Linked DNA regions of Canis lupus familiaris. The protein of the gene in region 2 interacts with the protein of the main gene of each other region in a pairwise test. Links are inferred from orthologs where the notes say so. Each region holds a gene or a part of one and is shown on either strand. Other genes may lie near its edges.

Region 1 (4,169 bases), on a different chromosome or scaffold from region 2:
ACCTTTCAAGGATCTCCCATTGCTCTTCTAATAAAGTCTAAATATTTTGGGTAATATTACAGAGAAATTTACTGTACTGTTCTCTCATCACATTTGAGTGATTTGAAAAATATCACTCTAGGGGCAGCCAGGGTGGCTTAGGGGTTTAGCACTGCCTTCGGCCCAGGGTGTGATCCTGGAGCCCCGGGATCAAGTCCCACATCAGGCTCCCTGCATGGAGCCTGCTTCTCCCTCTGCCTGTGTCTCTGCCTCTCTCTCTGTGTATCTCTCATGAATAAATAAATAAAATCTTAAAAAAAAAAAAAAAGAAAAATATCACTCTAAAGCTTTAAGAAAAAGAGAAAAAAAGCCGGTCCCAAATCCTTAAAATTGCCTAAAAGACCTGGCATCATCTCTTTTTCCCCCTACTGCATTCTACATTCAAATCAACTGGGGATCCCTGGGTGGCGCAGCAGTTTAGCGCCTGCCTTTGGCCCAGGGCATGATCCTGGGGACCCGGGATCGAATCCCACGTTGGGCTCCCGGTGCATGGAGCCTGGTTCTCCCTCTGCCTGTGTCTCTGCCTCTCTCTATCTCTCTGTGTGTGACTATCATAAAAAATAAAAAATTAAAAAAAAAATCAACTGCTTTGACCTTTCAGTTCTATATATTTCCCTAACCTCCCTCTGGGGAACCTGTTTCCTTTGCCAAGCAGGACCTTTCTTCCCTCCTTTGGGAGTCACCTTTAACTAATTCCTATTTATCCATACCATCTTAGCTGGATGATTACTTTCCTAAGATTACTTGAACTGATTTCCCCAGCTGGTTATCCCCTTTGTTATGCGTTCTCACAATATACTATATTCTTCCTTTTTAAGCTTTTATTTAGGTTTACTGGCATTTACAGTTGATCCTTGAACAATACAGGTTTGAACTATGCAGGTTCACTTAGATGAAGTGCACTTTTTTCTATACAAGACATTACTGTAAGTGTATTTTCTCTTCCTTATGATTTTCTTCCTAATATTTTTTCTCTAGCTTACTTTATTGTAAGCACAAATCATAATATATGTAACATACCAAATACGTGTTGTTTAAGGCTTTTGGTCAACAGTAGGCTCTAAGTAGTGAAATTTTGGGGAAATCAGAATTCATACACAGATTTCCCACTGTGTGGGGGTTGGCATCCCTAACACTCCCACCGTTGTTCAAGGGTCAACTGATAAGACTTGTGTGATTAGTTGTTCAATTGGTTCCCTCCAATAACAATGTAAAGTCCATAAGGCAAACTCTATATGGGTCAAAAAAAAAAAAAACAGAAAATCTTTAAGGGATATTACCATGGTACGGTGGGCACTCATCAAAGTGTCATACTTTACAGTTCCACACTGACATCAATAGTTTCCTATCTTTATTTTCCATTATCCCAAATTATGTGTACTAAGGAATTAGTGTTGGAGGCCACCCTAACGTTCCTTATTGCTAATAAGAAACCGCGAACAAAAAAAAAAGACGCGCGCACACAAATATTAAACATGGGAAACAGCGAACACGAAACCTACAAAAAAGAGTGTCATGGAAGGACTGGTGATGAAGCTACCTGAGAAATGGCCACCCCAAACAAACGCGCCTGGTGTTTCTGCACAGTGCTCCTGCAGCACACGCCTTTGGAAATGCGGGCAGGGGCACCTGGGTGGCTCAGGTCCCGATCTCGGGGTCCTGGGATCGAGTCCCGCCTCGGCTCCCCTCCCCTTAGGGACGCTGCTTCTCCCTCTGCCTATGTCTCTGCCTCTCTGTGTCTCTCGTCAAGAAATGAAATAAAAAATAAAATAAAATAAAATAAAATAAAATAAAATAAAATAAAATAAAATGAGAAAAGAGAAAAATGCGGGCATTTTGAGTGCGCCCGCCTCGAAGTTTCCGAGCGCCCCTGGAGCGGAAGCCCTCTGCGGTGCCTGCACCGAGCTCCCACGCACGAAGCTGGCGCAGGCTGCAGGCCCGAGCCGGGGCTCACCTGAGGGGCCGGGGGTCTCGCCGCCGCCGCCGGGGACACCGACACCGCCGGGACCCGGGGCTCAGCCGAACGGAAACCGACTTCAGGGCTGAGCCCGGGCGCGCCCCAGCGCGCCCCGCCCGCCCCCGCCCCCGCCGGCCAGCGCGCGTCCCGGCGCCTCACCCCGCCGAACCGGGCACGGCCCCGGCGCACTCACCTCCGGGCGCGGTCGCCTCGCGGCCTGGTCCTCGGTTGGCTCCGACACCGCGGGCGCCGCCGCCGCCGCCGGGCTGGAGCCCCCCTCACGCGGGGTGGGGTGAGGGGGCGCCACCGCCCTCAGACCCGCGGAGGCTCGCGGGCCCGCGCCGCCGGGACCCGGCCCTCCCGCCTGCGTCTCCGCCTCGCGGCCGCCGCCGGCCGCCGAGCGCGCTCACCGCAGGCTCCGCGCGGACCCGAGAGCGCGCGCGGGGCTGGGGGCGGGGGGGCGGGGGGGCGGGGCCGGCCGGCGCCTCGGCTCCGGCGCGCGCGCTAATGGCGGCTGCCTGGTCCCTGCCGCCGGCGACGCCGCGGGCTGCCTTCTCACCCCGCGCCGAAAATGCTGGGAGCGAGGAGTGGGCTCCCCTAGGAACCCCGCGTCTACCGACCTCCTCTTCAGCCTCCCACGGAGTCGGCGGACGGCTTTCCCCGCATTCTGACAACGTTGAACTTACCGCGAGCCGCGTGATTCTGGAATCCCCGCCGCCGCGCCCGTCCGCGCCCCGGGAGGGTTCCCTGCGGGGGCCGCCTTCCAGGTGTAGCTCGGCGGTGGCTCACGCGGGCCCCCCTGTTCACCCACGGCCGTCGGCCACGGCGGCCCAGTTCCGCTCTTCGTTCTTGCCTCGCGCGGCCAGGTGGAGCGGCGGCCCTCGCCCCCCAGGCTGGGGGGATCCGGGCCACGGAGATTTGACCACGCCTGAGTTACGCCGCTCCGCCACGGGCACGAGTCCGACGCGCACTCACCCGCCCGAGGCTCACCTCCGCGTGCGGCGCTGCCCTCGCTGCCACCCTCACAAGTCCCTCACATACAGTTCTTTCTAGTCTTTGTTCACCTCTCCCTGTGAGAAGCGAGCCTTTTTTTTTTTTTTTTTTTTTTTTGCCTGACCTTGGAGCCCGTGGCACATCTCCCGGTCAGAGTTCCCTCTCGCTCTCCGCACCCCATTGGAGGGGTCCTTTTCCCTCTTCTTCCCAACTCATGAAGCGACCCTAGTCTAGGTACCTCATCCAGGTGCAGTCATGCACTAGTTGTCCTTTGGTGCCTGCCCTCATTTCACTTAGCATTATGTTTTCAAGGTTCATCCATGTTGGAGCAGGTATCAAAATTTCTTTTTTTCAAAGGTTTTTAAAATTTATTTATTTGCTTATTTACTTATTTATTTTTGAGAATGAGCAGGGGGAGGGGCTGAGAGAGGGAGGGGCAGACGGAGGGAGAAGCTGAGTCCCTCCGGAGCTGGAAGCCCGACCTGAGGCTCTAACCCAGGGACAAGGGCAAACTCAGACGCAAAACTGACTGAGCTACCCAGGCGCCCCAGAATTTATTCTTTTTTATGCTGAAAAGCATGTCGTCGTTGTATAGATCATTTTTTTGTTTATCCACTCATCTGCTGATGGACATTTGGATTGTTCCCACGTTTTGGCCATTGTGAAAAATGGGGCTGTGAGCATCTGTGTATAAGTAATTCTCTTCCTTCTGATTATTTTGTATATATCTAGATGCGGAATTGCTGGGTCACATGGGGTGTGACTTTTTGAGGACCTGCGAAGCTGTTTTCCACAATCAGTACAGCATCTTTTTTTTTTTTTTTTTTTTTTAAGATCTTATTTATTCATGAGAGGCACAGAGAGAGGCAGAGACATAGGCAGAGGGAGAAGCGGGCTCCTTGCAGGGAGCGGGATGTGAGACTCCAGCCTGTTACCTGGATCACGCCCTAAGCCAAAGGCAGATACTCAACTGCTGAGCCACCCAGGCATCCCTGAGTACAGCATCTTAATATTCCCTTCAAAAAAAAAAAAAAAAAAAAAAAAAAAAAATATTCCCTTCAGCAATGCACAAGTATTCAGGTCTCTCCTTGTATCCTGGACAGCACTTACTATTTTCCATCATTAGGATGTTTTTTTTTTAGTAGCCATCCTAATGGGTGTGAAGTGGTTGGCATTCATT
Region 2 (3,643 bases):
CATTTCTGGGCTACAGGAAAGAAGGGACAGGTCTCACATGACCAATCATCCCTGTCTGTCCAGGACTCTCCTGGTGTTAGCACTGAAAGTTCCAAGTTCTAGAAAATCCCTCAGTTTCAGACAAACCAGGATGGTTTGTCACTATAGATAGGACACGAGATAAGGGAAAGGACCCTTGGGCCCTATCACTGCAAGGAGCTTCAAGAAATCCTCAGATTAGGACTAAGATGAAGAACAGAATCTCTTAAAAGAGATTAAGCTTAGTAGAGCTATAGATTCCCTATGAGCAAGAACAGGGTCGGAAGAAATTTGAGGTCCTTACCAAATCGCCGAAGGGCTGGGTCAATGCTATTGGGTCTGTTGGTTGCTGCCATGACAATCACATGTGCTCTCTGCTTTAGGCCATCCATAAGGGTCAACAACTGTGATACAATACGCCTTTCCACCTCCCCATGGGTCTGTCAGGACAGGATGTCTGGTCAGAAGTGAAGTGAGGACCTTTTAACCCCCACTATCCCCTTGGGCAAGTTCCTACTTTCTCTCTTTTGGGAGCGATGGCATCTAGCTCATCAATGAAGATGATAGCCGGAGCATTCTTCTCAGCCTCCTCAAAGGCTTTACGAAGGTTGCTCTCAGACTCACCAGCCAACTTGCTCATGATCTCAGGACCTGAAAGGATACAGAATAGAAACAATGACAAAAATACATCCTTCCCTCAATCCCAAGATAAATCAGATCTCTTATCTGGCTGGTCCAGAAACAGGTGCTATGTAAACATGTGGTAACCTCTGCCTACTTTCTCACAGACTCTCCCAGATACTATCCCAGGATAGGCACAAACTAGGCTGGAGGGAAACCACAAGGAACTCACACCTATCTCAGTCAAGCTCTAAATGTCAAGATGCCAGCACATGCCCTGGACCCTCAGGCCAGGGCAAGAGAACCAGCATACCAGATGGACCTCTATCATTTTCAAAGAGGCAGCTAATGTCAATCTTCCCCCAAACCCTCTCAAATAAACTAGCAGACAAAATTTTTGAGTTCTCATTCTAACTTGCTACCCCTAAATGTCTTCAGCCTTTCTCTCTCAAGGGAGGATAGATCAGGGACACCAGAGTACAATACCTTCCCCTTGTTGCTTATCTGTCCACAATGTAACCCAGCAGAAGAAAGATGATGAAATATACATGAGGGTATGTATGCAAATAAATGTGTCCGTGAGTTCTCCAGCTCGTGAGACTGGATCATGCTCAGCTCAGTGTAAGATCCAGCCAAATACAAGGTGAACCAATTCTCCTACCATTGATTAAGAAGAAGAAGGCTCCAGTCTCATTTGCCACAGCTCGGGCAATTAGGGTCTTCCCAGTTCCAGGAGGTCCATAGAGCAAGATTCCCCGAGGAGGCTAAGGACCAGTACAGAGAGAGTGATTAGGTTCAGACTCCTACCTTCTCCCAACTCCACCCACTCTAAAATGGTTTGAATGTGGCTCTATCTAGATAGAGAGTGAGAATCAGTTTTGAGCCCTCAGCATAAACTACTAAGAAAGTTTACTTCAGGCCATACTCACTCCTCTTATTAGCAGAAAACTGACATTTATTTTATTTTATTTCATTTTTCTAAGATTTTATTTATTCATGAGAGGTATATATAGAGAGGCAGAGACACAGGCAGAGGGAAAAAGAAGCAGGCTCCATGCAGGGAGCCCGATGTGGGACTCGATCTTGGAACTGCGGGGTCACGCCCTGGGCTGAAGGCAAACGCTAAACTGCTGAGCCACCCAGGGATCCCTAGAAAACTGACATTTATGATTATACCTTGGCATAGGAGACTAAGAGCACAGAAACCACCCTAAGAAACTCTAGTATGGCTAAGTCTGAAGATCCTGGGACTACAAAAAAGCAAGAGGCCAATAGGCCAAGGTTTTGACTTTGGACAGACAAGGGCCAGGACTAGTTTTTAGCTATCTAAGGAAGAGTATTGCCACAGGCTCACTCATTCCAATAATCACAACCCTCTAGGATCTATCATATTTGAATGCTTTTCCTTACCACCAACAACCACAAGTTTTTCTCTTTGAAGCTGTCTTTTTTATGGCCTATCCACAGGCTGCACATGGGAAATGCCCATATAGAAGATAAAATTATTTGTATGGTACATACTAGAGAAGAGGGTAATTTCATCTTCACTGTGCCCATGATATGGAACAGTTAGGAAGTCACATTGTAGGTCTGCAGTTCTCACATGTTTTGGATTCAGGACCCTTCACACACTGCAAATTTCCTTAAACTTTTCTTGGGTGACATTGTTACATACAGGTAGGCAACTATGATGAGATTTGTTTTTATAGGGTCCGTGAGATAAAAATGGTTTTTACATTTTTAAATAACCATAATATAAAAAATAATGCAACAAGAATTGACCCGAGTCTTTGTTAATTACCAGCCTACATTATGTCCCAGGATACTCACCTTAACACCAATCGCCTTAAAGAGAGCAGGATGTCTGAGAGGTAGCTCCACCATCTCCTTTATCTGAGCCAGCTGTTTCCTGCAGCCACCAATATCATCATAGCCTACTTCATTCAAGGACTCTTCCTCATCCTGAATACAGAGAAGACAAAGAAAAAAAAAAAAGGCAGGAATATTATTATTATTAGCAAAAGTTGAGTTTCGCCAAATCCTTCTACAATCTGGTATAGAGAAACCTATTTTACGAGAGGATTCTCCTCTAAGGGGGATCCTGACTCAAAGAACAATTCTAAAAATCCCAAAGCAAAGATTTTCAGCATAGTCTTTCCCTTTTACACTGCCCTTAGTATTACTGGAAAGAACCACCCTAAGACTAAAGCTAGAAACTGGGAAACAGACAGAGGTCTGGATGCCATCATCAATGTCACTTCTACAAAAATTATTCCAACCACTTAGATCTTTTGAGTTCAATCTGGATTTTAAAAATTACTGGTATCATATACTTCTAGAAACACACAGGCCCAGAAATGAATAGTTGAAACATTTTCACAACCTCTGGAAAAAAGCTTAGTTCCAAAGAGCACTCAGTTTTATTTTTAATAGAGGAAGACAGAGATGGGTGGGAGCAGGGGCGGAGGGAGCAGGCTACAGAGCGAAAGGGAGAGAATCTTAAGCAGGCTCCAGACCTAGTATGGAGCCCAAAACAGGGCTCAACCTCACAACCCTGAGATTATGACCGGAGTTGAAATCAAGAGTCAGATGCTTAACCAACTGAGCCACCCAGGTGCCCCCAAAGAGCACTCACAGTTAGTAGTTACCATATGACCGCCCCACTTTGTAATCATGAAATTGGGTACTGGGATAAAGGAGAGAACTCACCTCTCGTTTGATAGGCTCCCCTTCACAGTGGATCACTGTGTCTGGGGCAACAATGCAGTAAGGACTGGGATCTGTCTCCACTACTTTGAACTCTACAGCACGCATTCCACCCCGGACAAGGAAAATGTCTCCTGTGAGAGTAATTAGCACAAGTGCAGTCAGAGATGTCAAATACCAGAGCAAGTGAGAGTTCCTCACCAGAACCTGTTGTCTAAAATGCCAAGTTCACTAGATACTGCCCCTTTCCCCTTCCCACCTCTACCTTATTAAGCATCAGGCAAGAGGAGAAAGCTAA
Region 3 (4,080 bases), on a different chromosome or scaffold from region 2:
TGGGAGTGTGTGGTTCTGATAAAGCATTAACCAAGCTGCAAAGGGGTATACCACTGGCCTCGTTCTAAGACTCGTCTGTTTCTAAGACCATCATTTCTGCTCTGTAACCTTTCTCCCAGGGTTTTAGATCTTAACTGCACGTTACTTTGAAGTATTTTGAGGCTCAAAACTAGGTGAAAAGCAGGTTTGATACTCATTTAAGTGGATGTGCTACTACCACAGATTTGAACCAAGGAATTACTACTTTCATCATAATATGACCAGAGAATTGTTTTGGAGATGAGCAGCAGTGACACAGCAAGGTCCAACAGAAGGCCAGTTGACACCCCAGGGAAACTCACTGAATGCTGGCCTCCAAACTCTTATCAATATGCCAGCAGCTGACTGTGTTCTGGGCTGCTGAGCTACTCTAACCGCTTATGAGCCTGACCCAAAGTTTCCAATGTCCTCATTTATAATCCAGGCTATAGCTACCCAATGACAAGAAAAGAAATGTCAAGAAGGTTCTCAGGCAAAGTGTAAGAACAAAAAGGATGGGCTGGTTTTTTCAGATTCCAACTAACTTTCTGGGCAAGTACCATGAAATATCCCTGCCTTATACCCAGCTGCTTTCTCAGGTCACCCAAATTAGCTCCTGTCAGGGGCCCTCTCCTTTGGATAGTACTGGATTAAGAATGAGCCCTCCTGTTCTCTCTCCTTTTCTAGACTCTTTGCAGATTCCATCCTTGAAATATTCTTTTAACAGTATTGTTAATAATTGCCAAGATTATAGCAGGTTCAACCTTACTCACAAAGTCAGATTACAGCCTTCCATATTAATGCAACAGACCAGGTTATAATTTTAGCAGCCCCCATATAATTGATTATATTCTCCCCAGGCATCTAGTTACAGATTGTTGTTTAGCATCTGCTACTTCTAAGGATGGCTGATTACATCACTACCCATCATTTCATTTCTTTCCAATCTTCCTGTCATCTCCTAGAAACTGAGCATAGAAGAAATCTTTAAGAGTATCCACATTAGTGTTTTTCAAACTTTAAAAAAAAAAAAAAAGTAACAGAGCCCTTTTCTTTCTCTGGGGGTGGGGGGTAATCCCTCAACACATATATATGTATACATATACGTATATGCATCTATACACACATATATAGATGTGTATACACTCTTTTATATATATTACATATATACGTATACATGTGTATATATACACACACACATATATACGTGTATACACTCATATATAAAAGAAACAAAGGACTTCTTTTGGTTAAAGTAGGGGTTTCTTTGACATACATCTTCCCTTCTATGGCCATCCCAGTATATTTTGGAACAGTCTGAAAAATCACCATCTCAGATCAACCCCTTATCTTAAAATTGAGAAAACAGATCTAGAAAACTGAACTGACTTGGAGATATTATGACAGCCGCAGCTGGCAGAGCTGGTCCGTCATATTCCATGAAACACTGGGTGAAAAAGTAGGTGAGAAGCCCCAGTCCAAATCACATGGTTTCTTTTATAGCAATGATGTTACCAGTATAAACACGCTGGGGTTATTTGTGTGCTAGATAAAAGGCATCTGCTACAGTATAAAAAAGCACATTCAGATTTGCTTATCCAGCCGTGGGTAAAAGAAATCTTTCTGCAGGAAATATGTAGGCTTTTTCAGATACAGAGACATCACAAGAAACTATCAGAAGGATCAACCAGGTTTGGGAAGGAAAACAACGGCAGGTAGATCTGGCTTACTCTGCCAAAGGTTCCTGTTCCTAATTCCAATGCCAGGTCCAATTGGGCCTCTCATTTCAAACTTAGACCGCTCTTTTTTCCTACTACAAGCGGGCTTTTTCATGCCCCCACTCACTACGTACCCGAGACTCAATCATCCAATAACCCAGTGCATTAGTACGGGCGACCCTAGGTTTTTCCCTACTGGACCAAATAAAACCTCAGGATGTTTCCCAGGATCCTCATCCCCGAATTAACCATCCTCCGGGGCCGGCGCAGGATCTCCGTGCGAAGACTGCCAATTCCATTCGGAGCCAATGGATAAACACGGAGCAACAAGAAGAGATGCAGCAGAACCTGGCCGAGGCGATCCTCCTGGACTCGCTTGGGCTTTACGGAGAAGAGCGGGCAACCCGGGAAGACGGGCGCGGACCAGGTGAACTCGGTTTCCTCATGAGAAGGAGGGCGGTGTCGGGCCTTGGGATCCCACGACGAGGAGGGGGTTCTTCTAACCGGAGGTGGAGTTGCTCCTCTTCACCTGGGGTGCCCGCGCCCCACTTTCGCCTCCCCCGCCTACCTTCTTACAAGGGGGAGGCAGGCGATGATGAGACAGACAGAAGCCCGCGCGCGCCGAGCAGAGGCAGCCGCCGTCGGTCCGGGGGAGGCCGGGGCCCAGGCCAGGCTCGGGGCACAGGGGCACAGGGGCCCAGGGGCCCAGGGGCCCAGGGGCAGCAGCGCGGTGCAGCCCCACCTCCCGCCTTCGGAGGCAAACGGCCCCGCGTCCAGACAGTTTAGAACCTGCCTGCTGAGCCCCGACGAGCCGCTCTGGGCACCGCACCTGTCCTTCCACGCTCACAACCGTCCGCGCCTCCCCATCCCTCCCCGCGGCAGGTCACAGCCGACCCTCCCGCCTGACCTTGGGGACGCGGCAGCCTCGCGCCCCGGCCCCGCAGGACGCCGATGGGGGCTCGTCCCTCGGACCCGACCGTCCTCCCATCCCCCCACCCTCCTAAATTTAGGACAGGCGGGCTTTAGGGCCACTGCCTCTCTCCCGGGGCCGTTCAGGCTGCGTTCCAAGTAGGGAGGCCCGGGGGGGGGGGACCCGGCGAGTGACCCCTCCGGCACCGCGGGGACCAGGTCCTGGCGCATCCCTCCTCCTGCCCCGGCTGCTCCCCGCCCCCTCCCGGGCCGCTCGGCACCCAGGGGCACAGTCGCAGCGCCCACGCCCGCTCGGACCCCCCGCCCCGCGCGCCCTCGGCTCAGCCCCCGCCAAGGGCTGGGGAGGAAGGGGGTCCCCGCGGTCTCACCTGGGGCGGAGGCGCTCGCTCATGGCAGCCGGTGGAGGGGAGCGACGCGGGGCCGCGCCGCGAGCCGAGGGAACCGACGGGGCTGCGCTGCGGCGGCCGCCACGCCCACCCCCTCGGGCCTTGGCTCTGGCCGCGGCGCGGGTGGACGCTGCCGGCGGCGCGTACCCCTCGGTGGGACCCGTACCGCCGCGACTTCCGGCGTCCGCTCCGCGCCCCCCCATGTCGCGGCCGCCGTGGTACCGCCCTCTCGCGCCTGCGCACTGGCGCGAGCCCGGCCGCGCCGACCGGTAACCCCGCCCCCAGGAAGAGGCGGGCCCCGAGCGGGGCGGGGCCGCCCGGAGCTCCTGCGGGGGCGGGGAGGGCCTCGGGAGAGGCGGCCTCGGCTTTCGCCTGTTCGCAGCCGAGCGGCCACGCCGCCGCAGTCAGCCCAGGTGCAAACCGGACTAAATGGTGTCCTCATAATACGGCGCGGGGACCTGAGTTAGGCCCCTGTGCGCGGACGGGGCTTTTGAAAGCACGGCTGGGAGGCGTCAGGCAGTGACGCGGGCGGCCCGCGGCGGGGTCCTGCACGGCTGAGGCCGCGGCTCGGGGCGGGGGCCGGGGGCCGGGGGCGCGGGCGCGGGGGCTTCCGGAACGCCGCACCTGGCCAGGTGAGGACGCCGCTCGGGGCGGGCGGGGCGGGGCGCGGCCGGTCGGGCTGTGTCCAGCGGCCCACGGCCCGTGTCGGGGGGGACGGGGACTCGGTCGGGGGGCGGGCGAGCCCCTTCGGCGTCCGTGCGGCTCCGGCGGGCCCCGCCCCCTCGGGGGAAGCGGCGGCTCGGCTTCCGGAAACGGTGAGGGAGCGGGGGGCGGGGCGGGGAGGGGCGGGGCGGGGACCGCGGCGGGGAGGGGAGGGGAGGGGAGGCGGGGCGGGGACCGCGGCGGGGAGGGGGGGGCGGGGCGGGGACCGCGGCGGGGAGGGGGAGGGGGGAGCGGGGCGGGGCGGGGCGGGGACTGGGGAGGGGAGGGGAGGGGCGGCGGGGAGGGGAGGGGGGGCGGGGCGGGGA

What was found.
Region 1: the proteins of VCP (region 2) and UBXN2A interact in binary tests that used the Homo sapiens proteins (3 or more experiments, as listed by UniProt). The link is inferred for Canis lupus familiaris from reciprocal best matches to the Homo sapiens genes VCP and UBXN2A.
Region 3: the proteins of VCP (region 2) and FAM104A interact in binary tests that used the Homo sapiens proteins (3 or more experiments, as listed by UniProt). The link is inferred for Canis lupus familiaris from reciprocal best matches to the Homo sapiens genes VCP and VCF1.

The regions. Positions count from the first base shown.
Region 1 is NC_049238.1:18,506,693-18,510,861, reverse strand, and holds the start of UBXN2A (UBX domain-containing protein 2A), read right to left. Parts: upstream 2,892-4,169; 5' UTR 2,683-2,891; intron 2,338-2,682; exon of another isoform or gene 2,190-2,337; intron 2,012-2,189; exon of another isoform or gene 1,994-2,011; intron 1-1,993. UniProt on the Homo sapiens protein: Acts to repress the ubiquitination and subsequent endoplasmic reticulum-associated degradation of CHRNA3 by the STUB1-VCP-UBXN2A complex in cortical neurons.
Region 2 is NC_049232.1:51,938,301-51,941,943, forward strand, and holds part of VCP (transitional endoplasmic reticulum ATPase), read right to left. Parts: intron 3,480-3,643; coding exon 3,349-3,479; intron 2,602-3,348; coding exon 2,470-2,601; intron 1,404-2,469; coding exon 1,301-1,403; intron 670-1,300; coding exon 536-669; intron 459-535; coding exon 323-458; intron 1-322. UniProt on the Homo sapiens protein: Necessary for the fragmentation of Golgi stacks during mitosis and for their reassembly after mitosis. Involved in the formation of the transitional endoplasmic reticulum (tER).
Region 3 is NC_049230.1:7,824,766-7,828,845, reverse strand, and holds the start of FAM104A (protein FAM104A), read right to left. Parts: upstream 2,892-4,080; 5' UTR 2,877-2,891; coding exon 2,644-2,876; intron 2,299-2,643; exon of another isoform or gene 2,036-2,298; coding exon of another isoform or gene 1,986-2,035; intron 1-1,985.